3 linked regions of the Oryctolagus cuniculus genome follow. The protein of the gene in region 2 purifies or fractionates together with the protein of the main gene of each other region. This does not show direct contact. Links are inferred from orthologs where the notes say so. Each region holds a gene or a part of one and is shown on either strand. Other genes may lie near its edges.

Region 1 (3,983 bases), on a different chromosome or scaffold from region 2:
AGAGGGGCTGAAGCAGGGGGCAGGGGCCGTGTCGGGGCAAGACCCCGCCTCACTCATCAACACCTGCTTCCCCAGGGGAGAGGCACCATGTCAGCGGGGGAGGGAGGGAGGGGTTGCCATGGAGAGGTTTCTCTGGGAACCAGGGAAAGCAGCCAGCGTGGGGGGCAGGGTGACGGATTCTGCCCCAGTCTAATGGCTACAGTAATATCTCAGGGACACAGGTCCTCTTTTCCGGGCTTTATCTGCACTGGTGGGAACTGGGGTCACTCCCCCTTCACAGATAAGCGCAGCGAGGCCTAGAGAACTTGAGGACCTTGCCCGAAGTCACACAGCTCACTAGGACTCTGACCACAGCCCGGCTCCCAGCTAGCCTCTCCTCGGTGCCACACAGCACCCCACCCACCCTCTGTGACACCCCAGGTCGTCGCACGACCTCCTGGGGCAGCTCAGCTCTCACAGAGGCATCCAAGGGGACTCCCACCCTGGGGCCCAAGAGGCTTGGAGTGAGGAGGGGCCCTGCTCTCGTCTGCCACCCAACTCTTCCAGCTGTGGCAGGGTGGGCAGGAGTCAGGGAACCCAGGGCCCTGCCCATGCACCTGCTGGGGGGGACCACCAGGGGGCCCCAAGTGTCCTGTGAGGCCTTTCCAGGGACACGTGCCAACCACAGGAGCGCCCAGCCCCTCCGGCTCAGAGCCCCTGGCTGATTAACCGGCTGCGGTTTCCCGCGTTCCTTCTGAATTACTCGCTGTCCTTTGAGACTGCGATCTCACAGGAAAAAAAAAAAAATCCAGCGTTTCCGTTTCCGTGGAACCAGCCGCTCCTGGACCATGGGCCAGCCCTAGACATCACCTGCGCCGTTCCAGGGGCCCAGGTACTCCTTGTGTCCCCGACACAGGCCCACGGGGCTGGGGGGACAGCTCTCACCTGCTGAGCCAGGTGCTGGTTCTGCTTGCACCCCCATTTCCCTGGAGGGGACAGCAGCACAGGCCACCAGGGCGAGTGACAGCAGCCAAGGGACGGAGCAACCCAGAACTGGCCCTGTCCTCTATCCCAGGCCCGGACCTGGGGCTCGGGGAGGAGGGTAGGCGGCACAACGGCCTCGCCAGTCCACAGCTGGAGTTCCGCCCTCCTCCTGTCTCCGTGTCACAGGTGCTGCGCTGGGTTACCCAGGCGGGCCCTGCGTACAGGCCCGCAGGTCTTTCCAGGGAGAGGCAGGAGGAGCAATGGGGGAGCCAGGCGACGGCACGATAGGAGGTGAGGAAGAGGCCCCCGCTGAAGGACACAGGTGGGCTCGCAGGCTGGGGACGAGCGTCTGCCCCGAGCCCCAGGAGCGCAGCGCTGTGCACCACCTCAGTCCCCTCCTTCCAGAGCTCTAAGGGAGCCAAGTGCGTGGCAACCTGTGACAGTAGAACAGGAAACCGAGAGAGGGTGACAGCAAGGATGCCCAGCCAGCTCGGCAGCGGGGGCCTGGCCTGGCTGTGAGCGCTCCTGCGGGGACTCTGAGCCGCCGGCCACGTGGCAGCCTGACCGCCTGCCCACCCCCACGCTGCCCTTTCTGCAGCGGAGCTGGCCTTGGCCTTCTGCCCTTGTTTGCCAGGACGCCCACCCCCAGCCCCTGCACCCTTGGTCTGCGTGACTGCTACCCTCCCTGACCCTGCGCAGCAGCCGCTGTATTGAATCTCCAACTTCTGCGCAAAAACAACTCTTTTGGGGGCCGGCGCTGTGGCACAGTGGGTTAACGCCCTGGCCTGAAGCTCCAGCATCCCATATGGGCACTGGTTCAAGACCCGGCTGCTCCACTTCCGATCCAGCTCTCTGCTGTGGCCTGGGAAAGCAGTGGAAGATGGCCCAAGTCCTTGGGCCCCTGCACCTGCATGGGAGACCTGGAAGAAGCTCCTGGCTCCTGGCTTTGGATCGGCGCAGCTCTGGCTGTTGTGGCCAATTGGGGAGTGAACCAGCAGAGGCAAGACCTCTCCCTCTCTCTGTGTAACTCTGACTTTCAAATTAAAAAAAAAAAAAAAAAAAAAAAAAGAAATCTTTTACAAAAATGTCCTGACCACTTCCAAGGTCGCAGCCTGGGGCCGTGAGGGACAATTCTGGGGAGGAGGTGCCTGACCTTGCCCTCCAATACAGAACAAAGTGTGGACGGAGCGGGATGAGTGAACACGCACAGACCTTGCGCCCCGTCGGCGCTGGGCTTCACCCGCCCCACTTCCGGCCCCCAGCCCTGCTCAGGAGGGCAGCTCTCCTGGGCCACTGAGCCGGGCCCCAGACGCGGTGGAGGTGGGAGGTGTGCGGGCCGCCTGGCTCGGACCCGTGCTGAGGCTCGGGACTGGAACCTGGGTCCTGGCTGATGCAAAACTTGGGGCCCTTTCCATCACGCCAAGCGCTACCTTGACTGGGAAACACGGGGGGCTGCGGCAACAGCGCAGGTGACAGGGGAGGGCAGGCTGGATCCACACAGCTCGGCAAACCTGAGGTGTGAGCTGAAGGTCCAGGCCTGGAGCCCGCTCAGGGCCCCGGGCCCTGACGGTGGGCTCTGCGCGCCTCTCCTACTTCCTGGCGCCTCAGCCTGGTCTCCGCAGCTGGCCCACGCCCGAGGCTCCATTTGGATTCTTGGGGCCCCACACAGGGGCTGGTCCCCTCCCCCTCCGAGCCCCTTACCAGGCTGCGTGGGGCCTCTCCCTCATGCAGGGCTAAGCGGGAGGGAGCCTAGCCGTTGCCAGGTGCTCCTGGGCCCCCAGAGAATCCTCTCGCTCCTCCCAGCAAAGAGCCACAGCTGATGCAACCTGCCTGCAATCGGCCGCCTCACTCCCCGACAGGTGCCTCCGCACCAAAAAAGGAGTCCCAGCAGCCACGGCCCAGGAGTGAAGGGGCCAGCGCCCCAACCCCAGAGACCACGACCCGGGTGGCAGGCAGCTGCGGAGGCCCCACCCGCGCACTAGCAGCGCAGGGCGCTAACTGGCGTCCACTTAGCACCACTGAGTCAAGCTGCTGGGGGCGGGGGGACGCGGGGCTCTCCTGGTGGGCATCTGCACTTCCAGTTATTCAAAACAGCCCACCCAGCCACCCCCTCAAAGGCCGCGTACCAAGCTGCGCCATGACGCCAGCGTCTCATCCGTGCGCCGAGCCGAGCCCCGGCGGCTCCACTTCCGCTGCAGCTCCCTGCGGATGCACCGGGACGGCCGCAGAAGACGGCCCGGGCGCCTGGGCCCCTGCACCCGCGGGGGAGACCTGCACGGAGCTCCAGGCTCCTGGCCTCAGCCTGGCTCTGCCCTGGCCACTGCGGCCGTTGGGAGAATGAACCAGCGGATGCAGTAGCCCTCCTGTAACTGTGCCTTTCAAATAAATTTTAAAAAGCTGAAGCATTTTCCATAAAGTACCGAACGGTCTTCAAAACGGTCAAGGCCAAGTGTGGGGCCACCGCCACAGAGCAGGGGGGCTGTGGAGGCCCAACGGGGAAGAGGGGACAGGCGTGAAGGGAGGGCGGCGTGCCGAGGCTCCTGGCCCGGGCTGGCGACTAACGTGCCACAGGACCACGTTCGCGGGGGCGCTGGGCGAGGCCACACAGACTCGCTGTACACCTCTCAACCTCCCTGTCAACCTCCATCACTCCCAAGCACGGCTTATTAAACACCCCCTCCCCGTGCATAAGGGGGCGGGGGGCGAGATTACGTGCCCCCTCCCCGTGCATAAGGGGGGGGGGAACGTGCCCCCTCCACGCCAGCGGCGTGGCCGCCACCCCACCAACACCTGCGCGTGCAAGTGGGGGAGACCGGCCAAGTCTCCCAGGGCAGCCATGGAGCCGGAACACACCCCCCACCACGGGAGACCTCGGCCCGGGAAGACCGGCCGGAGACCACGTGCTCAGAGTGGACAGGCCGGATCCCGGACGAACCGGGGCTGACCTCTAGGTGGAGGGGCGCAGGGTAGGAAGGCAGGCGTCTTCTGCAGCAGAGAACAGCCCCGGACCCACCGGGCTG
Region 2 (4,037 bases):
CTACCCTCTTTCAAACAAGACCCTGATTTCTCCCATTTAAGAGAAAGGGACGCTACCACAGAACTGAAATGAGGAACTACAGAAAGTGACTCTAGGACTCTTAGCTCTTCAGCTTCCCAATTACAGAACTTGACAACTGAAGGGTTTTTCATAGATAATTATTCCAACAAAATGCAATTTATTAACTGACTATAAAGATAAGATAGAGGTATGTATGATTTTACTAATACTAAGAATGTTTTCACTAGAGCAGTAGTCTCAAACAAGGACAACTGACAATTTCTTGAGACATTCTCAATTGTAACTTGAGAAGAGGTGTTAGGGGTATCTAATGATGGGACAGGAATGCTAAAATGCTAAAAATCCTACAAGACTAAAGAGAGTTCACCACAATAAATATCTGGCCCAAAGTGTCAACAGTGCCAAAGAAACCCTGCTCAGTAGATGTTTTCATACCTTGCCTCTGAATGTTCAATCTAAATCTCTTATTTCTCTAACCTTTCAACAAATTGCACAATTACAGTTGTCTCTTTACTGGAAATTAAACATCAGTCCTACTTCTACTTCCTATATTAACCGCCTCCATATAAATATTACAATAATATGACCAATTGTTCCCAAGCTCTGAATTTGGTTCCTTAAAAATCTTATTTGCGTTTAGTTATCCAGGAACTGTGGACATAAACAAAGTCAAATACCAAAGTACCACATAACACATAAACGGATTGGGACCCCTTATCTGGTCCCCAAATTTTAGAAGCCCACAAATACCCAGCCTCTTTGCTGACTATCTGTAGTTTTAGCTCTTCCATATTTGTTTATTCTTGAATGCAAATGAGGGCCCACTATGTGCAAAACAACCTGAGTACAAAATAAAAAAACATTTTACCATGGTCTACTAGAAACACAAACAGCTAAAATACAAAATGGTATGTGCTATAAATAGAAGCATCAAATAAGTGTTAGGGAAGCTTAGAAGAGAGAATGCCAGGAAAGGCTTCCCAGAAGAGGGTGATGCTTTAACTGAGAAATGTCACAGAAAACATATACTGTTCACATTTTAATATTTAGACTACAGTTCCCTTCCTCTCTTAAGCACTACTAGTTTTCAGTTTTTGCTTTGTCATCTAAACAACAGCAAGGTGCCACTCTAACAGATGTCAACAGACCACCGTGGCAACTAATTCAATTTCATCAAATCTTAAGTGAGTCAAAATAATTCTGTCGAAGCATTTCCTAGTGCATTCATCCTGTTCTACCTCTGATTTGGCTTTTAAAATAGCTTAATTTCCTTCACCAAGCAAATATACTGTCTGCCACCCAGTTAACTAGTGTTTCCTTCGCAATTTCTAAGACTCTTAACAGAGAATGCTCACTGCTTGTTTCTTTTGTTCTTCCAATTCATTCCATTCTCCAAAAAAAGAGTTTAATTTCCTTGCCTTACCCTACCACAAAACCTCACTTTGAATTCTGCACCTGAGCCAAACCATGAGTTCCAAGGTACAACTACAAAGTGATTGTGTAGCTTTTTAAGTCTTGTGATGGTTCCTACAACAGTACTGTTGTAGTAACCGTATGCTGAATCCTCAGCCACACAGTGACAAAAATTCAGATTTCTAATAGGAAACTGGACAACGATCCCCAGTGCCCCAGTGGTATAGATTCCTTTCCAGTACATACATCATTGCCATTTTCAAACCCACTTTTTAGTAATGGCGGTCTAGGTTAAGAGATACTAATGAAGCTTCTACCTGGCCATGGACAGAGCTGGTAGCAACTAAAGCCGTCAGGCTATTGAAGGTAAGTCTACTTCTAACTACTGAATGCCTCTGCTCCCCTCCCCCAAGAGAATCCTTAATAATGGGAGAGTGGGACACGCATCCAGGGAGGGTGGGGTAACAGACACATTTCGAAACTGAGTCGAGAGATCTGGCATTCGCTAATGCTGTCTCCGCCTCTGGGCTTCAGTTTCCCCATCTATAAAACCTGGATGTGATGCAGGCTATGGGGGTTGATCTGAATAATCTCTAAGGTCCTTAAGATTACAGTTAGCCAGAAATCCAATTTTTTTAAATCTGGCTGGATACGCAACACGTGGGAAAAAGACACGACCCTTTCACTACACAGCACCGACCCTAATTCTTGTATATTGTCTTTAGAAGCCTAGAAACTTCAGACTCACCCACCCTAACTCTCGGGCTGCCCATTTCTCCTACGGGGAAACCAAGGCAAATAAAGCCCACCCCGCACGACAGTCGAGGAAGTGAGTCAGACACCTTATCCTGGCTCTCTCCGCTCTGCCCCAGCAAAGGCCGGCCCCCGAGGGCTCCTAATCACCGTCAAGCGAATGAATGAGTACGAACAGATAGATGGAAGCTCCCCAAGCGTGGGCTGCAACTGGAGACCCCCGGGCCTACACCCCTCCGAAGTCGATTCCCTCCGAGGACACGAAGAGCCGGTCCTCCGGCCCGCAGCGAAACGGGCCCCGCCCCCTGCCGCCGGTCAGAAGGTGCGCGCCCGGGCGCGAGACTTCGGCGCCGCGGGCCTGGGACGCCCCGCGCACCCGCCCGCCCAGAGGGGAGGAGGAGCCTGCCCGGTCCCTCGCCGCCGCCGCCGCCGCCGCCGCCGCCGGCCCCGACTTACCGCGCTGCGGGGGGGAGGGGAAGTGTCCGGAGTGAGGGCCCAGGCCCGTCCGCCGCCCGCCGCTCACAGAGCAGCGCGAGGCTGCCAAGAAACCGTCGCCACCGCCGCCGCCGCCGCTCCCGACCGCCGCTTCAGGCGCAGCGCGCAGAGGGCCCGACTGCGTCACACGCCGCCCGCCGTCAGAGGCTCAGTCCGGGCGCTCCGCCCTCGCCGCCTGCGCATTGGCAGATCCAGCCGCCACTCTAGGTTCGCCCTGTTAGTCATTGGGCGCTGAGTCTTTTGAAACCGAACGTGAGGGCGGTCTTCGGGAGGGGGGGGAAGAGGAGGGTCAAATGGAGTTGGGGAGAGAAAGGGGAGGGCCTGTGGGAGGTACGTGGAGTCCCGCCCCTCACAGCCGCGGTTGGCTGGGAGAGAGTCTTGACGTCACACAGGGCTCCTCGAAGGGGGCTAGTGAGTGGCCAGACTGGTGTGCACTGGGCGGGATGTGGGAGAAGAGTGATGACGCTACTTGGAGACTCCGCCCCCTTCCTTCGAGCGGAGAGACTCGGGCTGCGGGCGCAGGGGCCAATCAGAGGGAAGGCCCCAGGATGGCATGGTAACTATTCTACCCTTTTCTTGCCCCAGTCCGCGGGCGGTGATGGGAAGGCTTCCTCCTCGCCCTGCTCACACTTCCTGGACAGACCACGTGCGGAGCTGGCCGCTCTTCCTGGGAGGTGCATCTGTCCGCAAAGCTATTCTGTGGCTAAGAGGCCCTAAATCCCTACCTCCTTGTCTCTTAACCCATGCCCGCACCAGCACACACCCTTTCCTTTTATCCCTAGGATAGACATTATGAACATTAGAGATCCTGTAAGGGAATGGCCAACCTTAGATTCCGGTACAACTAAGGATTCTTAGAACTTCTGTCCCATTTGAACGTTGAGAACCCGTACTTACTCTTAAAGGCCTGGTTCAAATGTCCCCGCATTTGCTGACTTTTCCCAGCAAGCTGCCTAATGCTTGGTTAGGTCTCTGTTACAACCTTGTCACTTTGTATCCTGTTATTTATTCATTTTCTGGTTTTCTTTGCTGGGGGCTTTTGGAGGTCAGAGAGCTGCGTTTTCATCCTCTTGCTCTTTTCCTGCCAGGGCCTAGCCCAGAGAAACCTGGTATTACAAGAAGCAGAGGTGGGCTTGTTCTAGAAACTAGACCTCTGGTGGCTGAGGCTCTCACACAGAGTTACAGCAGCAGTGTTTAGAAAGTGGAGTATGCAGAACATGTCTCCACCACCACCCCTCCTGGACCATGAAAACAAGGGAGCCTTGTCTAACGCTTAGATGAGTTTTCAGTGGTAGCGAGGAATGAGAGATAACTGACCTGTTGTAAAGTGGAGTAGTAGTAAGGACTGGTGTTGG
Region 3 (4,172 bases), on a different chromosome or scaffold from region 2:
CTCTATTCTTTGTACAACTTTGCTGTGAATTTTAAAGTGCTGTAAAAACTATTTTAAAAAAATGACATATATAACCTATGAAATACTCCATTGCTGCTCAGATAATGTCTTGGCAACTACTGATATGTTCACTGTCTCTGCTTAAAAATTTTAATTAAAATTTTTACAATATATTTTTTGTAGGTTGTTTGGACCTTGTATGAAATGAGCTTAGGTCATAGCTTATAGAAGTTAATTATCTCCAACTCACAGCTTTGGAGTCTCCTTTTTTTTTTTTTAAAGATTTTATTTATTTATTTATTTATTTATTTATTTGAGAGGTATAGTTAGACAGTGAGGGAGAGACACAGAGAAAGGTCTTCTGTCCACTGGTTCACTCCCCAAATGGCCGCAACGGCTGGAACCACGCCGATCTGAAGCCAGGAGCCAGGAGATTCCTCCAGTCTCCCACACGGGTGTAGGGTCCCAAGGACTTGAGCCGTCTTCTATTGCTTTCCCAGGCCATAGCAGAGAGCTGGATTGGAAGAGGAGCAGCTGGGACTAGAACCGGCGCCAATATGGGATGCCAGTGCTGCAGGCGGAGGATTAGCATACTATGCCACAACACTGGCCCCCAAGGGGTCTCCTTCTAAACTAGCAACAGAACCTCAATTTTAGTGTAAAAAAAAAAAGCAAGAAAATTTCAGAAAAGCCAGGTTATCCCCCCCGCCCCGTTTTAGATTTATTTATTTAAAAAGTAGGGTTACAAAGAGAGGAGAGTGGGTAGACAGAGAATAGAAACAATGTCTTCCACCCTCTGGTTCCTGCTCCAAAGGGCCACAACAGGCAGAGCTGGGCCAGACTGAAGCCAGGCGCCAAGAGCTTCTTCTTGGTTTCCCACATGGGTGCAAGAGGTCAAGAACTCGGGTCATCTGCTGTTTTCCCAGGTGTAACACTTCTTGATGCAACCCATCAGGAGAAAGATAGGACTAATAATTTTGAAAACTCTGCATATCCTCTCTTCTCCCTCAACCTCATCACCCCGATCTCTTTTTAAGGCCAATGAGCCTGGACTTGTGGCGTCATCTCCTAGTGTCTGCCCTTCGGTTGTCCCGACAGATCTCTGTTCCTGACGTTTTGACTTCGCCATTCGCTCCGTTCCCGAGGCACTTGTCTGGAGGGAAATACATCCAAATGTTCCCCCAAATTGATTCAGGGCCGAACACTGAGGCTGACACTTAAAACGTTTGAACTGTCCTTAATTTCCTCACTGCTTCCACTGCAGTTCAGGTAACGCCAAGCGCGCACAGCAGGATCTGCCGGCCGTTCAGCCTCCTCACGGACGCGCCGCGCAGACGCACTGGCGGCTTCGCGGGGCATGACGGGCAGGGGGCGGGGCCTGGCGCGCGGACAGCACGCGCCGTGCCCGTTCGGGCGGCGGGGTCTCGGCGGGCTGCGGGTTGCGCGCCACAGCCCTCCTCCGAGGCGGGAGGGGCGCACGGAAGAGGCGCGAGCGGGCGGCAGCCATGTTTGTGGCGCGCAGCATCGCGGCGGACCACAAGGATCTCATCCATGATGTCTCTTTCGACTTCCATGGCCGGCGGATGGCGACTTGCTCCAGCGACCAGAGCGTCAAGGTGCGCGCGGCGCCTTCGGTCGGGGCCGAGCCTCGAGGAGGGGGCGTGGAAGGGCTGCTCAGAGAACGGGCACTAGTCCCGATCTTAGGGCACGCCGCCAGGCACCAGGCCTTGAGCCAAACAGTCAAGGCGGGAAAGCCCCAGGCGCGAGGCCTGGGTCACTGGGTGGGGTGGCATGCGAGCACCCGGCGCACGCTGTCATCTCCGGGCGCCGGGAAAGCCCTGTCCGCCGTCTTATTGTGGGGTCACGGCTGTCTGGCGGGCCGCGCCCCCGTGTGTCTGCGCCGCGCCGGCGTCAGCCCGCGTGCGCGCTCCCGCCTCCTGCGGCGCAGGGTGCGTGCGACGGAAGGCGGTGGGTGCCGGCGAGGTGCGCCTGCGGTCGGTCCGCACCGCGCCGGGGAGTCGGGGGCTTCACATTCTGGGTGCCTGTGGGGTCCCCTCAGCTCACTGATTACGCGAAGAAAGAAAAATACAAATCGTTTTCATCCAACGGAGTTCTCTCGTTGCTATTAGGAATGGGAGTATTTGTTGCTTTAAGTTACTGTCAACGGCCGTAGGTTTCTGACAAGCGGAATGTCTTTGATAGGGGGACATTTAGGATTTAGACATTTAAGAGATACAAGATACGTGATAATAAACTTGAAGATGAAAACTGGAGTCTGGATTATTTGCATTCTTGACAATTCCAAAATAGCTGAACATCTGAAGGGTAGTTTTTTAATATTCAAGTTTGATACCAGTGATCCTTAAAAAACAATTACTATAAAAGTAAGTTACTGTTGAAAAACCATACTGTTGAGAGTAAATACCACATGAAAAAATTATTTCAACTACACAACTTTTTTTACAGTGTATAATTCTGTGACAAGTACACTATTTACCTTGTTGTAAACCTTTTCATCATCCTAAATAGAAACTACCCAGTAACCTATTCTTTCTTGTCAACAGCCCCTAGTAACCACTGTTCTACTTTCTATGAATTTACCTATTCTAGTTATCTGGTTTATTTCACTTAACATAAGGTTAAAGTTGCGATGGTAGCATGTTTCAGAATTTTATTCTTTTTTAAGTCTGAATAGTATTCATTGTATGTACTTAACCGCATTTTGTTTGTGCGTTCATCCATATGCCCTTTTGGCTGTTGTGAATAAGGCTGCTACGAACATTGGTGTACAAATACCTGTTTGAGTCCCCAGTTTCCAATTTGGGGAAATGTTTCTTATATAGTCATATATGAAAGTCATAAATCGGATGATAGGCATGGTCTCAGTATATTGATTAAGTATGTATTTAATTTATACTCTATATAACAGCATGAGATGAGTTGTATTGATTTATAAAGAGGCTGTAAGGGAAGAGGTTTTATTCCCAGAAAGTTTATTTTTTAAAAGATTGATTTATTTTACAGAGAGGCAGAGGAAAAAAAAAGAGAGACAGAGGTCTTCCATATGCTGGTTCACTCTCCAAATGGCTGCAGTGCCTGGAATTGGGCCAATCCGAAGTTAGGAGCCAGGAGCTTTTTTTGGGTTTCCCACGTGGGTGCAGGGGCTCCAGGACTTGAGCCATCTTCCACTGCTTTCCCAGGCCATAGCAGAGAGCTGGATCAGAAGAGGGGCAGCTGGATCTTGAATCGGGCCCATATGGGAGGCCGGCACCGCAGGTGTCGGCTTTACCTGCTGTGCCACAGTGCAAGTCCCCAGAAAGGTTTTTAAACTTAGAGTAATAACAAATTATATGTTTATATTTCATTAGTTTTTCTTCATTGTATTATGGCCTTATGTCCATTTCTTTCAGAGTGCTTTTTCTTACTAAAGAACCATGTACTTATTTTTACATGTGTGAATGTACACTTGCATTTGTACAATGTATATATATGTATTTTTCTGTTTGTATAAGTTATAAACTTTTCTACCATTTTAGAAAGAATTACAGGCTTATTTCTATCTTACTACTCATTAATGTTTATTGATTTCCTCTGTTCTTTTTCTTTTAGTGTTTTAAATAGTTATGGACACACACACATGTGATCCTCACATACAAAATTTTATATTGCTGCTGTGTCATAATGATTACCATTCCTAATGGCTTAATGTTTAATAATTGAACATACCACACTTTTTTTTGTTAGCTACCTATTACTGGGTCTTTTAGTTCCATTTGTAGTTAATGTCTGTCAGGAATAGCTTTACAATGCAACTCTGCATTAATTTAATTTAGCATTTTATATGTTTTGAATGGTTTCCTTAGACTAAGGAATTGTGAGATTGCCTTTTTGTAGGTTGCACCATTGACACTGCCAGTGAGAATATTGATTTGATGTGTGATTGCCCATGTTGCACATTATCACCACTTTTTTTAAAATTTACTACCTTTTTTTAAAAAGATTTATTTATTTATGTATTTGAAAGGCAGAGTTAAAGAGAGACAGAGAGAGAGAGAGGGAGAGAGGTATTCCATCTCCTGGTTCACTCCAAATGGCTGCAATGGCCAGAGCTGTACTGATCCCAAGCAAGTTTTTTCTGTCAGTTGTGGATGTGTGCAGAATGATGACAGTTT

The links.
Region 1: the proteins of NUP98 (region 2) and NUP62 purify together in Homo sapiens (affinity purification with western blotting; 3 studies listed by BioGRID and IntAct, with this or other methods). This does not show direct contact. The link is inferred for Oryctolagus cuniculus from reciprocal best matches to the Homo sapiens genes NUP98 and NUP62.
Region 3: the proteins of NUP98 (region 2) and SEH1L fractionate together in Homo sapiens (co-fractionation; 3 studies listed by BioGRID and IntAct, with this or other methods). This does not show direct contact. The link is inferred for Oryctolagus cuniculus from reciprocal best matches to the Homo sapiens genes NUP98 and SEH1L.

Annotation. Positions count from the first base shown.
Region 1 is NC_091449.1:7,660,853-7,664,835, reverse strand, and holds the start of NUP62 (nuclear pore glycoprotein p62), read right to left. Parts: upstream 2,801-3,983; 5' UTR 2,691-2,800; coding exon 2,665-2,690; intron 1-2,664. Other genes in the region: collagen, type I, alpha 1b-like, read left to right, coding at 3,101-3,157, 3,934-3,983. UniProt on the Homo sapiens protein: Essential component of the nuclear pore complex. The N-terminal is probably involved in nucleocytoplasmic transport.
Region 2 is NC_091432.1:63,101,829-63,105,865, reverse strand, and holds the start of NUP98 (nuclear pore complex protein Nup98-Nup96), read right to left. Parts: upstream 2,801-4,037; 5' UTR 2,644-2,800; intron 2,495-2,643; exon of another isoform or gene 2,277-2,494; intron 1-2,276. Other genes in the region: PGAP2 (post-GPI attachment to proteins factor 2), read left to right, coding at 3,142-3,238. UniProt on the Homo sapiens protein: Plays a role in the nuclear pore complex (NPC) assembly and/or maintenance. NUP98 and NUP96 are involved in the bidirectional transport across the NPC. May anchor NUP153 and TPR to the NPC.
Region 3 is NC_091441.1:69,834,922-69,839,093, forward strand, and holds the start of SEH1L (nucleoporin SEH1), read left to right. Parts: upstream 1-1,372; 5' UTR 1,373-1,505; coding exon 1,506-1,616; intron 1,617-4,172. UniProt on the Homo sapiens protein: Component of the Nup107-160 subcomplex of the nuclear pore complex (NPC). The Nup107-160 subcomplex is required for the assembly of a functional NPC.